Drosophila melanogaster: one gene and its partners. The protein of the gene in region 1 interacts with the protein of each later gene in a pairwise test. Each region holds a gene or a part of one and is shown on either strand. Other genes may lie near its edges. The genes, in order: CG12811, CG3386, CG18731 and CG7065.

Region 1 (3,894 bases):
TTGGCAGGCATCAGATGGCCAGGTGGTAGTGCTTAGCTGGAACCTGCGATACTTGTCGCGCATCGAGGGTATATCCCGAAATCTGGCCATCGAGCCCATGTCAACAGTTTGGAGCGGTTCGGGCAGGAAATACTCGGGCAATATTTTGACTTTGCTGAAGCATTTGCTAGTTGGATTGCGAGCAATGTACTGCGGTGACCTGAAAAGATATGGGATTAATCATGGAGAATTTAAGGTGATCCGTATAGTCAAGACTCACCCTTTTATATCATCGCAGTTGATGACAATGCGCTGCAGTGCTCGTGATTTGTAGAACACCAATCCTCGGCCGCTTTCGCCCCTTTCGTAGATCTGACACGTGACCCCATACAACTTGTGTGGGTTGTCCTCCGGCGGCTGCAAACGCGGGAAGCTTACACCGAAGATCAGACCGTCCAGACCGGGCATATCCTCGTCAAACATTCGGCCGTCGATCATGAAGGGAAGCACCTCGCCGGGAAAGAGGATGTGCTGGTGCAAGAAGATGAGCATGTGATGGACGCTGCCCACCTCCAAGTAGTCCACTCCGGGCACGCGACTCAAATGATTACCGAAGTATGAATGCTCCGCTGGCAGATTGGTGTCAAAGCCAATGTCGATTGGTGGTCGAGGTGGCTGCTGTGGCGGTGGATCAACGGGCTGCTCGGCAGCCTCCTGGCTCGTTTCCTCGCTTGTGCGACTGCGCCGTCGCTCCTGGCTAAAGACCATGCTACGCACTCGCTGTAGGAAGTTGTCCCCACTGAGCAGTGCAGCGATTCCACCATCCCGATTGCGGGCTTGCGAGACCATCATGTCTACGGCGGAGCGCAGTCGGTTCTGCGGAATCATCCAATGGGGCAGGCTCTCCAGATCGGAATCATCTGGAAAGGATGGAAAACGCGGGTTAAGTAGGAATGTGCAGCACAACGATTGTAAGCCAACTAACCTTCACTTCCTGGACTTTCCAGAGACATGTCACTGCTGGGATGACTGCCCTCGCTTGCTGTGTCGTCCTGCAAAACGTTCTCTACCATGGCCTCAAGTGCATCCCCTCCCTCACCATCGGTGGCCAGTGGATCTTGGAAGGCATCTTCTGCCGGCGGTGACGGCTCGTCTGGCATTGCATTGTTCCAAGCCTGTTCTATCACGTCTACCTGCCGATCCTGGAGCCCCTGTGACTGTTGGTCCTCCAATTGCACATCTTCATCCCGTGCTTGCACAGAATTGATTTCTGCGCAGTTTCATATGATGAACATATGTTATTGGGAACATTTGGCGAGTGCTATGATGCTGCCACACCCACCTGAGTTCTCCTCTTCGTCCATTTGAGCCGTACAGTGTCTTTTGTTGCTTCGTTTTGCAGGTGAATTTTATATATATTTATTTGGTTTTTATTTTGACAAAGGAAAATAAGAGATGGGAGCTTTTCGATAGTTAGCGATTGGCTAACCAGTGCTAACCAATAATGGCAACATTTTGAAAATGTTCGGTAGTTGGGCGCCAAAATAGACTCGTAATGCTTATCGTTCTATATAACAAATTATTCGATTTTCAATTTTAATTTCTGATACACTTAGTAATTTGGTAGTCCACAACTCATAGGAAGACAATATAACTAAGCATTACTTAACAAGGAGTTCTTAATCCAATATTTCAAAAGCAAACGTAAGTGTGCAGATATTTTTTTTAAGTTTTTCCCTTTTCTCTTGGCTTAAATTTATATGATCAGAAAGTTATTTTTTTCAACTCATCGATAGAAACAGCTGAGCATTGATTGAGTATTGAGCATCACTAGCAAGAGCGGATGTAATCGGGAGAGCAATATCAATTGGAACTGGCCCTTATTGGACTATGTTTTAATTTCACTTTGTTCTGCTTTTCTGGTTATTCGCACTAAACTTCCAATTGGAATATTGGAATATTTCCGAGAAAACGTAAAACAATAACATAACTGGACCCAACTAAGATCGTTATCGTTATCGAAGATCTTCGTTTCCCATTGATTAAGATTAAGTCAAGATTGGCCAGCCTCATACTTGTTTGAATTGCCGTGAGTATCACATGAACAAGTGATTATACGGACAATGATCAATCCCCAACTTTTGCTGATCGCCGCGCTTATTGCGTTTATTGGGAAAGTGGCACACGCTCAAATCGCCTTTGTTGAGGATCAAGACATTGATAAGAAGAAGGCCAACCTTGCGGTAAGCTGCAGCCAGACACAATCCACATTTGTGATAAGAAACGCCAAAATGGAAGAGAAAACCCAGCCGGAACTGGGCAACATCTTTCGCCGAATACCCTTCCCAATCAGAAGTGAAAGTCGTTGGAGTCCAATTAGGAATTTTGTGTAGTGACCAATGTTCAAAAACATTTCATGATTGCTTTGATTTTAAAACTAGCTTAAGGTTCTAGTTAAATAATTATAATAACAGACTTTTAATTGTATGGATACTGTTGAACGTGATTGAAAAATTTTTTTTTTTGTTAAAAATAAGAAATACATTTATTTTATCACTGTGGTGACTTTGAGAGTTTCAAACCTTTAAACTTCTAAAGTGTGTGTTTGAAGTGAATTTCAAAATACGGGGACTGTTTTGGTAGTGTATGCAAGCCCCATTGGCAATAATCAATCGAATTCCTGCCTCACACCCCTCCGCTTTCTCCTCATCAACAGGGTCGCAAGCCACTGTATTCGCCAGCCCGATGCCCCAAGCACCAGCTTCTTTATCCGGGGGACCAGCAGAAGCAGAACGACTGGGTTTGCGACTGCGCGCCAGGTGAGCGGTCATAATGGAGCTACCATGGCGATGACATAATAATCTCCGTATGGGTACTTCCCCTTCGATAGCCACACTGTATTACCCGGAGACCGATGGCTGCTATCCGGCCTACCGACAGGGACCCTGTGAGGCTGGACAGATTCTGGTGCTCTACAAGGAGGAGATCATCCCGAAGTGCGTACGAAATCCATGTAACAGGGACGGACACTTTATGATTCGCGACACATGCTATGAGTTCGGAAACACCAAGAAGGAAGAAAACCCGTGTCCTTACCAGGAGGCTTCCTTTGTACTTGGCGTGAATCCCACCAACTTGATGGTGGACTGTGTGAAGCTGTCCGTTCAACTGGAGACGCGTATTTCGGACACGGAGCAGGCTCCGCCGGAATACTACGTTGATTTGGCCGAGAAATGCGCACGCGGCAGTCGCCTAATGGCTCAGGGAAAGTGTCCTTAAAGGATTTTAACATTATGTGCTTAAATGTATTGTGTTCTGTTTGGTAATGTGTGGAGGCCAGTGAAGAATAGCGAATTTGTTCCATGTTTAAGACAGATATAATATGATTACATACCATTTCTCAAAATGAAGGCAATTCTTTATTTTTCTTGCACAAGCAAAACGCTATTATGTACAACTAAGAACTGGCTTTCCTGCGCCTCTTGACGGGAGTGGTGGCGGGTACAGGGCTTTCTTCTTCGATAATTTCATCTGCTTCGGCATCATCCTCTTCTGGCAACGTGACGCCATCCTCTAGGTTTGGTTCGTCATTGGCAGTCTCCAGCTTGAGCAGCGCATTTTCCAGCGAGGCGAGGAAAGAGCTCTCGCCGTACTCCGGCCACTGACGAAACTGACTAAATAGCGTCAGAATCTGACTGGGCAGGAGATCTCCGAACTGTGTGTAGATGTTGATGCCGGGATAGTAGTTTCTGGTGCTCATTGTAGTACTCTGGCACGAGTACTGTGGTAGTTTCTTGGGCAATTCATCTGGATAGATGGGTGTTACGGACTCGGAGGACTTCGGATTAATGATAAGCCGAGGTCCACAGCCGGGAACCCACTTTCTACACAAATAATAATTGAATTTATAAAAAT
Region 2 (4,148 bases), on another chromosome or scaffold:
GGATACGCCGCATGATGTACTACAAGGACTTCAGCATCTCCGACGGACTCATCCAGAAGATGGCGCTGCAGTTCAAGAGCTCCATGAACCTGGCACATTTCTTTCCGCACCAGGAGTGGTGCGACAAGTTCAGACGCACCTACAGCATCCAACACAGCGACACCAGACTGTTGAAGATAGGCTACACGCAGGGCTACTCGGTGCAGATCAAGGACATCGTCAAGGACGTCATGTCGGAAAGCATGCCGGAAAGTGGGCCACGGAACGGCGAGGAGGATGACGAAGAGGTCAGCTTGGGCAGCCCGGTGAGCAGCCATCCCCGCAGCTATGTAGAAGACGAGGATGACGAGGTGGATGTCGACGGTGGCGGTATTAGCGGCGAGGATGATCTGGAGGAGGAGCCTGATGTCAAGCCCTCACTAAGCGAACTAAATTTTGCCAGGGCTCTGAAGCCCTTGCCGCCTCTAGTTAGACTGCCCCTCCAAGCTAACACACCGCCAGGCACCACTCAAAAAGTTCTCCTGGCCACACCCATTGTTCCGACGCAAGCGGGCGGACAGCCCATGACCATGACCATCATACCACTAGCCACGCTCGCTCAGAGCATCACCAAGATTCCTGCCCCACAGCAGCAGGACAAAGGACCGGTGGTACCGCCGCCCAAACTAGAGATCAAGCAGGAAAAGGAAATCAAAGTGGAGCCCAAGGACCCGGAAGAGCTCCTGGCGAAGCAGCCCGAGGCGGAGCTCCAGGAGAACGATGACCGAGCACAAAGGGAAAAGGATCTTGAAATTCCGCCTACAGTGCACATAAAAGTGGAGCCAGAGGCTGAGCTGGAATCGGAACTGGACCAAGACCCAGCGGATCTCGATGAAGACGCGAACAATGGTCGCTCCAGTGTCACCTCGCTGGCCGAGGTTCTGGCGGCCAATGTGGAGGACGAGATGGAGTACATCGAGCAGATGCGGCAGCGAAAGGTGAGTTCGCCTGCGGCAGTTGAAAACTCGCTGAATCCTCGCCAGGGCACCAAACGTCGCTATGAGTCCGCCCAAGACGATAACAACAATGGGGGATCCGGCCAAGAAAGTGGGTCCAGTGTCATCAGCTGCGCCGATGCACGCAAGTACCTAAAGCTACTCGAGGAGTTTGCTCTGTACAAGGAGAACTACCGGCTGATTGAGCTGATCACACGAGCCGATGAAGTGATGCGCGAAATGGATGACAATGTGCCGTAGAATGCTCCAAACAGTGAGCGCCACATGAAGGAGAACGAAGAGGAGGAGGAATAGCTGCAGCCAAAGAGTGTAATCTTTGCAAACTGATGCATCTAGAAGATGCACATCGGTCGGATGCAATCAATCATTAGATCTAAGGTGAACATAATTTGTATTCGAACCAAATAAACGCAATCAAACCAAGTTTCTAGTGAGTAAATTTGATGTGGTTATAAAATATTGTGATGAATGAGCTAATGTCAATTGTCAATTGGTCTGTTGGAACTATTTTATACTATGCTCCCGACTGTAACCCTATTATTTTGACCTGTGTTGTATGTTATAACAGCTACATTTCCTTCCACACATTCTCGCCAGAACAAAAAGTCGGCTAAATATACGCGCTAATTGTTTTTTTTTCGAAGTGCGCATGTCTGCCCTTAGTTGGGCTTCTTCTTCTTTTTTTGCCGGGCGGGAGGTCACCCACACACACACACACAGGCGAGCCAGAAGAGAGAAAGAGACAAAGCGCATGTAAATGAAAATAACGGAACAAAGAGGTCAATCATTGAATTCTATCTTGTTAAAGAGAGAATTTCCCTGATTCAGAGTGTATTTTAAAATTTTCCCTGATCAGTGTGAAATTTTGGAGAGCGAGTTAAAATAAATTCATACTTTGCTGATGATTTCCTTATGCCGACAATCTTGATTGGGGCTAAGATGGGTAAGTGCGCAGGTCTGCCCTTAGTTAAAGTCTGAATATTTGCTGCTTTCCTCTCCCGCACACACGTGCACCTAAATTGCGGGGGAGCTGTAAGTCATTGTTTAATCCATATAATTAAAACTAATACAATAAGAAAATCGGATTCAGCTACGTTTTTGTTTTCAAGCAGTATGTGGGAATCAAATGATTTATTGTGCATTTCCACACGCACACATGCACATGCCCATCGGGTCAGTCGGCTAATCAATCACTCAATCGAGACACATGCACACACACCCGCCCGTTTCGGCTCTACATCAATTCAGTTTGTGATTGTCGCTTGAGGAGAGCATAACGCCGGTCGTCAGGTGGTGGAAATAAGTTTATACATATATGAGCATCCAGATCCAGAGCAACTACAACAATCAGTGGGAGTATGTGAGGTGTTTACCAACACTAGACGCTAGAAGTGGCAACTCTGGCCAACTGTAATCAACAACAGCTGATTGGCTTGAACAACAGAAAAAGTAAATATTTATGTTTATATGCCAATGGATATGGTAATTAAATGTATCTTTCTGAATGCTGTGCTGGCAGATGGCAGCTGCACTGCCAGATCGGTTTAGTGCGGGCAAACGGCAGTTCTGGCGCGAGTTTCTGGCCCTTTATCAGGGAATGCCGGAGCTGTGGGACGTCCACCACCTCAATTACCGGAACAAGGAGCTGCGAAACCGGGCGTATGAGTTGCTGGAGAGGAAACTACGGGAGATACAGCCGAACGCTACGCGCACAGAAGTCGGCAGGCGCATCAACATATTTCGCACCAATTACAGGCGGGAGCAGATGCGAATCCTCAAGCAGAAGGAGCTGGGGCTGCACTCCGATCTCTGTAAGCCGACGCTCTGGTTCTACGACTACATGGGATTTCTCCTCACCCAGGAGACCTTCCAGCACAGGACCAGAAAAGGTCGGGGCGGCAGACAGAAGCAAGATTTTCGCAGGGAAAAGGATGTAAGATTACATTCTCAATGATTGAATGATACTTAAAAATAAATAAATTGTGTACCTCATAGGACAAATACCCCTTGAAAAATCCAGATCTCAACACGGAAAGCGTTTGTGATTGGCCGATCAAGGATGATAACGCTTTCAACTACCAGTCCGAACCGACCGCCCCGCAATCCGAAGAGGGTTCCCTGCTCAGTCCAAAATTGGAGATCATAGAGCCGGAAGAAGGGCAGTGTGAAGTCAAAGAGGAAAATAGTTTGGGAAATTCATTGGAAACGAAAGAACCCACATCCTCGATTCAAACAGATCCCGAGAACGAACGAGGAACTGCACCCATGCAACTCAGCGAGTCCTCCGAAGTTCTGGCCAGATCCTGGGCTATCCAGTACGAGGAAATGTCCCCCACGCAACGGATTCTGGCACGAAAGGCCATCGCAGACATCCTGTTTGAGGGATGCATGGGCAACCTGCGAGTAAACCGCGGCGAACAACAGAGCACCGTGGCAAATCATTTCTAAACCCTTGACTTCTACTATTACGTCATTTGATATTCCTGCATTTGTCACTCTACGATTTAATGAACATCTCATTGAAGTCTTCAAAAAAACAGAACTAAGCATACGGCTCTAAAGAAAGTTCGAAATCACTCAGGCCATAATAACGATGAACGAGGCATTGCAAACTAGAAAACTAGAATTTAAGTACTACAAATACAAAATATGAAATGTCTCTTTATACAAAAAATTTCATCCAAGTATTTAAGTTTCCCGCCAAATCATAACAGGGTTGGAAATCGACTTTCACTCAAACGAATGTTTCACTCATAAAATGTAGAGATGAGAGTCTTATGTTGTGCGAACACGAACACCCAATGGGGTAATAATTTATTAAACGTTTTCTCGGAACTCGCTCATAAAATGTCATCGATTATTTTTACGTTAAATTAAAGAGTTGTTTAAGTTTTAGGTATGTTTGGTTGTTGTTTACCTGAGCTATCGGATGTACAATCCACTATCTAATTGTCACGCACACATCTCTCCCCTAATATTTTCTATCGTATGTGGTTGAAGTGGATAAAATAAGATTCGCCGTTACCTGAATTTGGTCAAGTGCTGCGCAGGCGCTGGTCCTTAAAAACCATTTGCGCATCGATTTTGAAGGAGTAAATATCGTAGGAAAGAAAGAAACTAATGCGATCTGTGGTAGGTGTTCTATATTTGGCT
Region 3 (2,855 bases), about 20 Mb from region 1:
AAGGTGGAATGTGCGGAAGGGGAGGGAGGGGCAAAAATACCAAACTTAAATCTGAGCTTTATTTTTCGCGCAGCCTGTCGCAAATCTCAGTTCTGTATTCGCCAGCAGCGAGAGAAGCAGCACGGGCAGCAACTGGTGGCAGTGCGAATCTCCGGAGAATCCACAACACCCCAACCACAGAAGCAACAGCAACCGCAATCACAGCGAAAAAGCGCAAAATGGTGGTAAGTACGAGCCGAAAGTGAGTTTGAGATCAAGGTGAACGGAGTCTCAGCGAAATCGAGTGGTTCCCTTATCGCCTCCAACTGAAATCAATCGACCACCCAAGGACAGGTTTGGACTTTCGGAAAGTGCTTTATGCCCTAACAAATAGAATCACTGTGATTTTGGCCAGAAATGGAGGTTTTTCGCTCACAAATTATTTTGTATATATATCGTATGAATCAATAACACTCACATACTTGTTGCTCGCTGCCCTTTAGGTACGACTAAACGAACAGGAACGCGCCGAGAAGCTGCAGCCCCTCCTGGACGCCGGCTGGACTTTGGTGGAGGGGCGCGACGCCATCTTCAAGCAGTTCGTGCTGAAGGACTTCAACCAGGCCTTCAGCTTCATGACGGGCGTGGCATTGCTGGCCGAGAAGATCAACCACCATCCCGAGTGGTTCAACTGCTACAACAAGGTGGACGTGACCCTGTCCACGCACGACGTGGGCGGTCTCAGTTCGCAGGACATTCGCATGGCCACGCACTTGGAGACCACGGCCAATTTGTTGAAATAAACGCATTGTTATACTAGTTGCTAAATATCTATAATCTTCGGTGTCCAATAAATACTCAGCTTAGCATCGATTTGCTAAAGATTTGGTAGTCGGCTTGTTCCAGGACATCTGGCGAGATCTCGTCCTTGACGTAGCCCAGTTGCTTGAAGAAGGAAATGGAGGCTTCGTTGTTGTTGAGAACGGTCAGCATGACCTTTTCCAGATGCCACAGGCGAGCGCAGTCCTCCAAAGTGCTCATGATGAACTTTCCCAGGCCTTTTCTACGATACTCTGCAGCCACTTGCATTTCGTAACTGAAAGGAAGTTCTACGTAATTAATGCATAAGGGCTTTACTTATGGAATACCCACCAATACAGGACACAGTCCCCGTGATCCATGTCGAAGCGGAACATTGCGTAGGCCACGTTCTCCTTCTTTTCGTTCTGGGCCACCAAGTAGCGAGCCCAGTTCTTGTTCAGCTCGGCGGCTTTGATCTTGGGCTGCCAGCCCATCTTGAGTTGCTTGTAATAGGGTCCCACGTTCGTCTCGGCCAGCTTAAAGGCCCATTTCAGCAGTTTGGAGTCCGCATCCGACTTCGCTCGGCAGATGAGTTTGAATTCCTCTCCGCTGGGGGCTTTGTAGCTTTGGTAGCTCAGAGATTCGAGGGGATTCTTGGCCCTGGCAGCCGTCTCCACAAATCTCTGTTTGGCGCCCTGACTTAGATCGTCCTGATTCCGCATTGTTTGCTTAAAATTTTGTAAAAATGGCAATTCGACTAAAAATATGCCGCGCAAATTAGGGATGGCACACAGTGGTAAACAAACTATTATTGCTTATATAGAGACTGCTATCGATTACACAGATTAACTTTAATTGGTATTTTTGAAATAATAATTACTGGCCACTTCATTATTTACCACTGTTTTGTAAACAATTGCAGAAAATTTATTGAATTCCATTTTACGGCTTATATACGGGTTTTAGACTAAATTGTTAGTACGATAATTAACCTTAATATCACTAAGACTACGAGACTCGATACATCAGGTAACCCCACATATTGAATCCCCAATTCAACAAGTGCTGACGTTTCCAGTTCTCTAAATTGTAGTTTCAAGGAAACAGACGATGTTTAGGAAGTCCAGGCCCAAAGTAGAGCCTCCACCCACGGCTCCCAGTGTAGAGGAAATGCTGGCGGACATGGAAACGTTCGAGGTCAATCAGCCTACGATAAGCGGATCTACAGACAACTTGGACTTGGAGCACGCTTTCATGACTGAACCAGAGAATCTTCCCCTTTCAACATGGTGGCAGATGTTCGACGAGTACGATCAGAAGGTGAAGAAACTGTCGGCCACCGTGGGAGATCTGGAGACCCAACGAAATCAGTTAAAAGAATGCTATGCGAAGCTGGAAAATAACGCGGATAAACTGAGAACGGACATCCAAAAGCAGCAGGCACTGGTCAAAGAAGCCCTTAAATGTTAATCTATCATTAAGCTACCTTATCTTAAACTATTGTTGAATGCACGAGCGGGTAACAAGTAAAACCTAAAAACTCCACAATCTTGAGAATATTCACTTTAGGCCCACTGCACTGTGGTTCGAGTCCCGGCTAGAACTTCAGCTCAAAGTACGTTTGCGGTATATTTTTCAACCGCGAGGTGTATTTTTCTGAGCCTGACATTTTAACGGTCAATGCGCGGTGTGGTCACACTGCTTGGTGGATGGTAAGGTGGTCGAAAAAAGTTGTTAAAAGCGCAGAAAAAGCAATTGTAATGCAATTGCTCCAGTGACTGTGAAAAGTAAGCAGCCAAGCAAATAAGTTAATCAAAACATAGATCAACAGATCAGAAAGTCCTAAAACGGCACGATTAGTCGTGAAATTCGCTCGGTTTAGGCCTGGATGATTGGGCAGAAGAACAGGTTTTAGGCCGTGGCAACAACGAAAAAAAAAAAAAAATAGAAAAAAAAACCTGCGACTGGCTTATACCATTTACGCCATTAACGGAGGTCGATGGTTATCCCTGTGTGTGTGTGGTGTGTGTTTGGTCCAATATATTTGGCTAAATTCCGCAAATCCAATTAACGCA
Region 4 (7,888 bases), on another chromosome or scaffold:
CTACGCCTGCCCTACTGTAGTTAATTCCGTGATTAGTTTAAATTCTCCTCCATAAAAAGTCGGTTGAAACGTTCGATTTTGATATATTTATTGTTCTTCATCTGTTGGCACAGTGGTCACTCGATATACATGGAACTGCTGCTGCTGCGGATGAGCAAAGGTATATACTTATACTTCCCTGGAGCTGTGAAGCTTAGCTTCTGGTATAAATGCTTTGCATTCGCTTATTCATTTATGTACGATTAGTTTTGGTTTCGAAGTTTAAATTTGTTGTTTTTGAGAGGAATAAACTTAAAAATCAGTTGTTTAATGTATAAATCAAATAATAATAATCAAATCACCATTGAAGAACATCATATGTAGCTATACATATTTTATTTTATTTTATTATTTGTCACTTGTACGTTCCATTTCGTTTATTTTTATTTCAATACACAGAATTCAGAACTCAAAGCTCCCCCAGCTAATAATTCCAAACGAAAGTCGATTAAAGTTGATTTCCGGAATTATTGTGTATGTTTATTCACGTGCTCTTCAGATTTATGTTTTCTGAATTCTATTGTTGTTCGGTGTTTTATAAACAAATGAAGGTAGTGATTATTTTCTTTTCTTTTTTTTGGCAGCAGCACACATGTATGGTAAAAAAAAAAATAATAAAAATCACTTGCCAGCTAGCAGATACACGGGCACTTCAAAGGGCGTTATTCTCGTTTCTACATTACGTTTAAATTGCATAACGTTAATAGTATGGATATCTAAGTCTACGACACTCTAGTGACGTCCACCGAACATGTTGTTAAAGTGCGGCTGCTGCTGCTGCTGCTGCTGCTGGGCACCCATAAAGTTCTGGGGCATCTGGTTGAAGGGCGGCTGTGGCGGCACATTGCTGGCCCACGGATTAGGGGGCGGACCCACGTAGCCACCTGGACCTGGTGGCACCATGCCGCCGTAGTTCTGCTGCACGCCATTGCCCGCAAACGGATGATAGCCGCCGTAGCCCTGCTGATTTGGATAGTGATTGGCATTCGGTCCGCCGCTCAAGCCGCTCATCAGTGGCTGTGCCTCCTGGCCAAAGTTGCGGCCATGCTGCTGCTGCTGCTGCTGCTGCTGCTGTTGCCCTGGATAGCCCGCATTGGAATAGCCCGCTCCGGGCTGCTTTTGGCCAAGATTTTGGCCTGGATTCTGACCCAAATTCGGTGCATTCTGCGCATTTGGCGCTCCATGCTGCTGGTTCATCATATAGTTGCGATTGCCACCCACGGGTGAACCTCCAGAAGTGCCATTCTTGCTTAAAGTGCCCATTAGATTGGCTATGATGTTCTCGGTGTCTTTTAGCGAAATCTTGGTCGCTGCTGCTGGCTTGAAAGTGAGCGCATTTGGCGATGATTCAACGCCTATAATGGGCGGCACTCCTGGCTTATTGTGTACACCAGCACCAACGACACCACCACCACCACCAGCACTAGCACTTCCATTCGAATCGCAGGCCTTCATCACCAAATCATCAAAGTTGTAATCATCATCTTCCTCGTCATCGTCATCGAGCATGATACTGGGCGTGTTCCGGCCGCGTCTCTGCTTATTGATGGGCATACTGGACATATCACGATCCAAATTGGGGCGCTGAGCGCTCAGCATGGAGTGACCCACTTTCGGAGCCGTGGCACTGGCGGAGCTGGCGGCCATGGCGGAGGAGGTTCTACCACCCATAACCGAAGCCTTGAACTTGGTAGCCGGTTTCGCCTTGCTAGCCCCACCAATTTTCACCACGCGCGCCAGGAAATCACTGCAGGACTCGCCATCGCCTCGGAGCTCCACCAGATTCACATACTTGCGCAGACGATCGACGCGCGACGGATCCTGTACCTCCAACTTGCGCAGATGGCCAATGAGATGAACCTGCTCCTCGTTCGACAAAAACTTAAAGTTCTGGAGTAGGGTCTGGAGATCTGAATCTGTTAGCGATTCCAAGCCAGTGCTGCCACCGACTGTATCGGCGGCTTGTACCTTGGCCGGTGCTCCCGTAGGTTTATTCACAATATCGACGGACTCCTTGTGCAGCTGATGCTCCACCTCCTTCATCAGCTCGTCCAGATCGATGCCCATGTCATCGGGCGACGGATTATTTTGCAGTCCGAGCTTTACCTTTATCTCCTCGAATTTCAGGCCGTTGTTGTTGTCCAGCTGGCGCCGCTGTTTGTCCGTCTTCATCAGCAGCGTTAGCATGTGTAGCAAGTTGTTCATATCGCCGGTGGACACATTATTGTAGCCGTTGAGTACCAAAGCATTGGCCAATTTGGGCGCCACCAAATTGCGATCGAAGGGCAGCTGTATGGGCGCCGGATTGGCATTTGCCTTAACCTTGACATCGACGGCATCGTTGGTACCTAGAGATCATCCGGTTACGGGTGGTTTGGGGAGGGAACAACACAAAGAAATCAATCAGTTAGGATTAACAGGTGAGAGTGTGTTTCTGTTTCAGATCCCGGCAGATGGAGGATCGTTATCGCACGAAGCTACGCAAATTACATTTATACTTATGGATGGTGTGGATGGCGATTGGACAGCTCACGGTTGGTTTCTTTACACTTGATTCACACACCCAGCAAAAATAAGGGAAAGCTTACCGAAAAACGATTAGGAACGATATCACCAGCGATTCGACCAAAGAGTCTATCCAAATATACGATATAATTACTATATTATCATAAATACAACATAGAAGGAAGACCTTATGACCATTTATGTTTCTCATTGCAAGCAGGTCTTTTTAATATCAATTTAACCCTTTTTGAACCCAAAGTAAAGGTCTTAAAAATAGGTTTCTTAAATTCGAAAAATCCTACGAATTGCAGAGACAAGACCAGCAATTCAGAACACGCTTTATATATATATATGTATACTTATAATATTGTTTAAAATGGTAATAAAACACAGCGCTATTTTGTATTATTTCAAAAATACTCGCTCAGAAGATTTCGTTTATGTTTTAGTGAGAAAGAAGAAATGTGAAATGAGATTGTGATCCCAATTCATACAACAGCCAAAGTCAAAGATTCTTTATTTCATAAGGTGCTAAACTTAAAACGTAACTAAATGTTTAACCGCAGAGTTTAGTAGACTAAAGTGGGGAGTATCTAATGTACATATGTATATATTTCTTTATCACCAGCACATAAAAAAGGTTCCTTTCGAAAAAGGAGAATAGAAATATTTCGAATGAAGAATCTAAAGGTATTCCACCGAATGGCACAAAACTCACAATAAACTCTGCAACTTTGCATAAAAAGCCGTTGAAAACGCGCGAAAAACGAACGATTGTTCCGATGGGTAACCCTTTTTTTGATTTGATTTGTTTGGTTTACTTACCTCCTGATTTCTAACCGCGACCGCGAAAAAGAGCGAGAGAGACGGATACGGATTGAGCGGGTTTGGTGGTGGACTTACCTTTGAAGGTCGCCTGATAGATGATTTCGGCTATGTTCGTGATTAGTTTCTTGATCACGCGCACCTTTTGCGGATCGTCCAGTACCTCGGCAATGAGAATGCCCTTAAGCTTCTCCTTTGTGGTCTCGAGGAACACACAGTTGTCTTCGTTTCGCAGCAAATCTTCAGCTGCATTTGGCTTTACCAACTCCATGGCCAGTGCCTTGCTAAGCAAATTGAGCGCCTTGGGTCCCAGGCTGCCCAGATGCTCCTCGACGGCGGACAGCATGCGCAAGACACTAACGACAGTCAGTGGTCCCTCCTCAATGGGCTCCGATGCCTCCTTCTCCTTCTCCTTGTTGGACGAAGCGGTGGGCGAAATCGAGCTCGTCTTGGTCACTTTGTACTCGGGATATACGCGGGAATCCAGCACGCGGAACGTCTCCACAGACTCATAGCCGCGCGATGATCGAGCATAGCCCTCGTTGCGGTGATAGTACTCGGAAGAGCGTTCGCGCTCACGCTGCAAACTGTGACGACCACCGAAATCCCTGGACGACGAGCCGCGCTCTTTGGATGCTGGTTCACGACCACGACCGCGGCCACGATAGTGGGCCGGCGAGCGAGACCGGTGTCGCATGCTGCGCGAACGCGAGCGCGTAGATCCTCGATTATAGCTGCGACGCGGCGAACGACTGCGTGAGCGACGCACGGCACGACGTCCGCCGCGCTTGGGGGACAACGAACGAGAGATGGAGCGGCGTTTGTGGGAGTGACGACTACGAGATGGAGGACTATCAACATCATCATCGCTGATATCGATGACGGCGTCGGGTAGTTTGCTTGTCGCAACAATCGGACGATTGTTGCGAAAATTCGGCTTCGTTTTGCGACAATTGTCGGAATTGGTGGTGGCAGGCGCTCTACGCGGACTGGCCACACGGATCTTGTAGCGCTCCATTAGCTCCAAGGTCTTCTCTTCGTCCTCGTCGCCCAGCTTGAACTTCTCTTTGAGATCTTTCTTTATTTTATTCACCGCAATGTCGAACAGTACGATGCGACGATCTTTCCAGTAGCTAATCCACTCCGGCTTATAGTCGTATTGATTCGGATCGCATTTCTTCTCCTCCTGCAGCTGCTTGTAGCGTCGATTCCAGAACTGTTTCCACTCATCCGGATAATCGGGATGTTTCTCGGGATTTGATTCGTACATCTCTGTATCACTGCGCAGCTGCTTGAGCTGTATTTCCAGCATGCAACGGAACTTCTCCCACTTGTAGCGCTCCTGGGAAATTTTAGATGCCTGAATGGCCAGCTCCTTGGGCGTGGGCAAATGCTGCGTTTTGTTCACGCCACCTGCAGGTGGTGGCGATTGATTTTTACTACGCCCGCCGGCATCTTCCGACAGATTATTCTTCTGTCGCCCCTTTGGCACCGGGACAACCGAAGCTGTTGAACCGCCAAAGCTCTCATCATCACTGGATATGGCATCCAAGGCAATTATATTTCCATCATCATGCTGCTTGTTGCTATCCCCGGTTCCGTCGACGTTCTTCTTCATGCTGCTCTTGATGGACTCATCCGGTTTGAGTTCGCGGATCACGCGCTGAGCTTCTTCGGAAAAATCTGATCCGGCACACTCATCGAAATGAAAGCTATCCCGCACCTGACTGCACATTTTGGAGCGATAACGGCGAAAATCATCACCAGTTGCAGTTATTAGATTGCGTGACCTGCCGAAATGCTTCTCAATGCACTTGACCAAATTCCCAGTGGCAGTCACCAGATCCCCAGAGCTGTTGGGCGTGCGCTTTAGCTTTTGCAGCTCCTTGTAGGCCTTCTGGAAATGGGTTTGCAGGTACTTGGTGCGGTGCGCCTGCGATGTCCAGTGCACAAAGACGTTGCGTCCATCCGAGCACGTTTGGCAGAGCACACAGAAGTAATTCGGACGCAGTTGGGCCGGCTCGTGCAGCTCGATGGTGTATTCGGTGCCGATCAGTGGTCCGGCTGTGTAGCTCTCGATCTGCTTTTGAATGACCGCCGTGCGGGACACGTCCTCCTCGAAACCGGGCGGTACCGGCTCGCCCGGCAGGAAGCTCATCGTTTCCTGCAGATGGGTATGGGCATCAGGCCAAAAGAAGAGAACGCCAATGAACGAAAATGGTCTAGGATCAGTACTTACCTTGGTCTGTCTCTCACTTTATTTCCGTATCAAAGCGAAGCCTTCTGATTTTCCAATTTTCTTGTTCACTTTTTTGCGCACACGAATGTTTCGCATTCGCGTTCACTTATCGACAAAAGGGGGCGGCTTATGCCCGCGTGCTTATCGTTACTTACTATGGCTGCGTTAGGTAATTTAGATTATTTATCTACGTCTTTGACATCCACCAGCTTCGTTGATCACTTGTTACGAAAATTGAGTCCAAGTCGAAGCCTTTTTGACAATTTTCTTTTCTTTTTCCAGCTTTCCAGTGTGACCGTCCGTCGTTCGGGCGATAACAACGCCAACGATAGCTGAATATATCGATTGTTTGCCAGCACTTTTAAAAGTGAAACAAAAAAAAAACCAATTCTTTTTTATGATTATTAACAGAATATTTACATCCATACATAGAGTATTGTTGTTTTTTTTCAGAGCGCTGTAATGGAAATATGGCTCTAAACGCGCTTTCACATTTTTTATACCAATTTCCGTTTGGTTGCATTCAAAATATTAAAAATGGTATAAAATTCCAAATAACTGTTTCCAACTGAAAGTGGTTTGTCCTTAGTTCTATTGTGGATTTAATAAGGCAAATAAGGCCAAAATTTTTTTTTTTCAATGCGGGATTCAAATAATCTTATTTTGGTAATGGTAAAATATTGATTTCGTTTAGAATTTTTATTTTATAATCAAATTTAAAGCCTTTAGGGTTAGGGATATATTTCGTTAATATTTAATGGATTTTTATTTCGAATATTTGCTTATATTTTCTAACTTCAGTGTGACATGGAAAACATGCTTTCGTCATTTGGGCAAAAAATAAAAAAAAAAACACACACACTTCTTGTGTTTCTGCTCATGAGCCCATAAATATTTACATGTGTGGATATGCGGAGTCATTATCTTTCACCCGAAACATAATCTCCGGCCGAGTGCAAATTGTTCTCGCCTCCGCCGCAAGAATGATGGACTTCTATGGATTGGTTCTGCGATGTGGGATGTTCAATGTTGGATGTGTTTCTGATGGCGTCGCCGCAGCTGGCTTAAATCAATCCCAGCTCCCGTTCATTATTTTTTATTCACTGTATGTATGTATGTATGTAGGTATTTTCCAGCTGAAGCGGGAGCATTAATATCATTGGGTCCCAAGGGATTGGCCACATGTGCAGTTTGCCGGTTTGCCGGCCGCCGAGGACAAATGTCAGCGAACGGGACGCGGTTTTTCACATTTTCAGCGATTTCCACGAACCGAGCCCACATCCCAACCGCCCTGGGCTGTGCAGTGGAACCACCCTAATGTGAAGTCAGGGAATTCTAGCGTATATGCTTGCATACTTCTACTGAGCACCTGTATGTAGCTAGAATTTCTTTCCATGAATTTCTTACCAGATGGCTGGCAATTTCCGCTCTAGCGAGGCCGCACTGTGCGCGATATGTGTGATAGATGTAACACGTATCCTGGGAGTGGATGAAGGGCGCATTAATCGCCGCACGATGAGCACACTGATATGGCTGTCGCAGATGATAATGGCAATACAACTGACTGCACAATGAGCTGACCATATGCGCACATAGACAATAAAATACGAATGCGAATGCGAGTGTGAGTATATGCCACCCCATTTTTGAAGGCCGCCCCGGTGCATTTGACAGTGGGCGAAGTTGCGCTTCATGTGGATGCGGATGTAGCCAAGGACGAGGATGAGGATGAGGATGAGGACGAGTAGTGGGATTGGGAGTGGGATGTGGCAAGTAGTAGGCATTGGACAAACGTAGCACATTTAATGAACATGCCGACATGAGTTATGGCTCGTTTGTTCGACTTTTCTTTTATTTTTTCTCTTTTTTGGTCAGTAGTTGAGCTACCCTTGAAGTGGGCATATGTACATAAACAATTCAGGCGATTTGATTTTATTCACCAGATCGAATTACGGGTGGAAACACTTCAGTGGTTGATTTCGAACATGTGCCAGTTTCGAACAAACGTTTTTGAAGCATCTGATTAAATGCCGCTTGATAGATGATACCAATTATTCAAAAGCTGTCTAAAAGTAGACTTTAAATTCGCAGTAAGTGCATAGTTCATTCGAAATGCATGCGTGCTCGTGCTTAATTGCCCCTTGTTCTTTTTTTTTTTTTATTTTTTTGACAGCGAAATATGGCAAATCGGGCACACAGCTGCTGGTTGACATCCCATTTGGTGATCTATCTGCGCGCTGCGAATGCAAATGATATTTCGCATTAACTTTGATGGAGATG

What was found.
Region 2: the proteins of CG12811 (region 1) and CG3386 interact in a two-hybrid assay, tested with the Drosophila melanogaster proteins (one large-scale study listed by BioGRID).
Region 3: the proteins of CG12811 (region 1) and CG18731 interact in a two-hybrid assay, tested with the Drosophila melanogaster proteins (one large-scale study listed by BioGRID).
Region 4: the proteins of CG12811 (region 1) and CG7065 interact in a two-hybrid assay, tested with the Drosophila melanogaster proteins (one large-scale study listed by BioGRID).

Annotation. Positions count from the first base shown.
Region 1 is NT_033777.3:10,046,745-10,050,638, reverse strand, and holds CG12811 (uncharacterized protein), read left to right. Parts: upstream 1-1,841; 5' UTR 1,842-2,102; coding exon 2,103-2,222; intron 2,223-2,695; coding exon 2,696-2,798; intron 2,799-2,869; coding exon 2,870-3,258; 3' UTR 3,259-3,387; downstream 3,388-3,894. Other genes in the region: ohgt (ohgata), read right to left, coding at 1-199, 260-899, 965-1,249, 1,322-1,343; mtTFB2 (mitochondrial transcription factor B2), read right to left, coding at 3,437-3,863.
Region 2 is NT_037436.4:680,153-684,300, reverse strand, and holds CG3386 (uncharacterized protein), read left to right. Parts: upstream 1-1,830; 5' UTR 1,831-1,938; intron 1,939-1,981; exon of another isoform or gene 1,982-2,027; intron 2,028-2,107; 5' UTR 2,108-2,444; intron 2,445-2,514; coding exon 2,515-2,928; intron 2,929-2,990; coding exon 2,991-3,443; 3' UTR 3,444-3,639; downstream 3,640-4,148. Other genes in the region: ebd1 (earthbound 1), read left to right, coding at 1-1,235.
Region 3 is NT_033777.3:29,723,365-29,726,219, forward strand, and holds CG18731 (uncharacterized protein), read left to right. Parts: upstream 1-1,662; 5' UTR 1,663-1,809; intron 1,810-1,858; exon of another isoform or gene 1,859-1,873; 5' UTR 1,874-1,890; coding exon 1,891-2,250; 3' UTR 2,251-2,326; downstream 2,327-2,855. Other genes in the region: Pcd (pterin-4a-carbinolamine dehydratase), read left to right, coding at 74-224, 483-782; Naa40 (N(alpha)-acetyltransferase 40), read right to left, coding at 838-1,075, 1,132-1,502.
Region 4 is NC_004354.4:9,140,507-9,148,394, reverse strand, and holds CG7065 (uncharacterized protein), read right to left. Parts: upstream 5,903-7,888; 5' UTR 5,609-5,902; intron 5,534-5,608; 5' UTR 5,528-5,533; coding exon 3,448-5,527; intron 2,388-3,447; coding exon 772-2,387; 3' UTR 501-771; downstream 1-500. Other genes in the region: fh (frataxin), read left to right, coding at 1-24.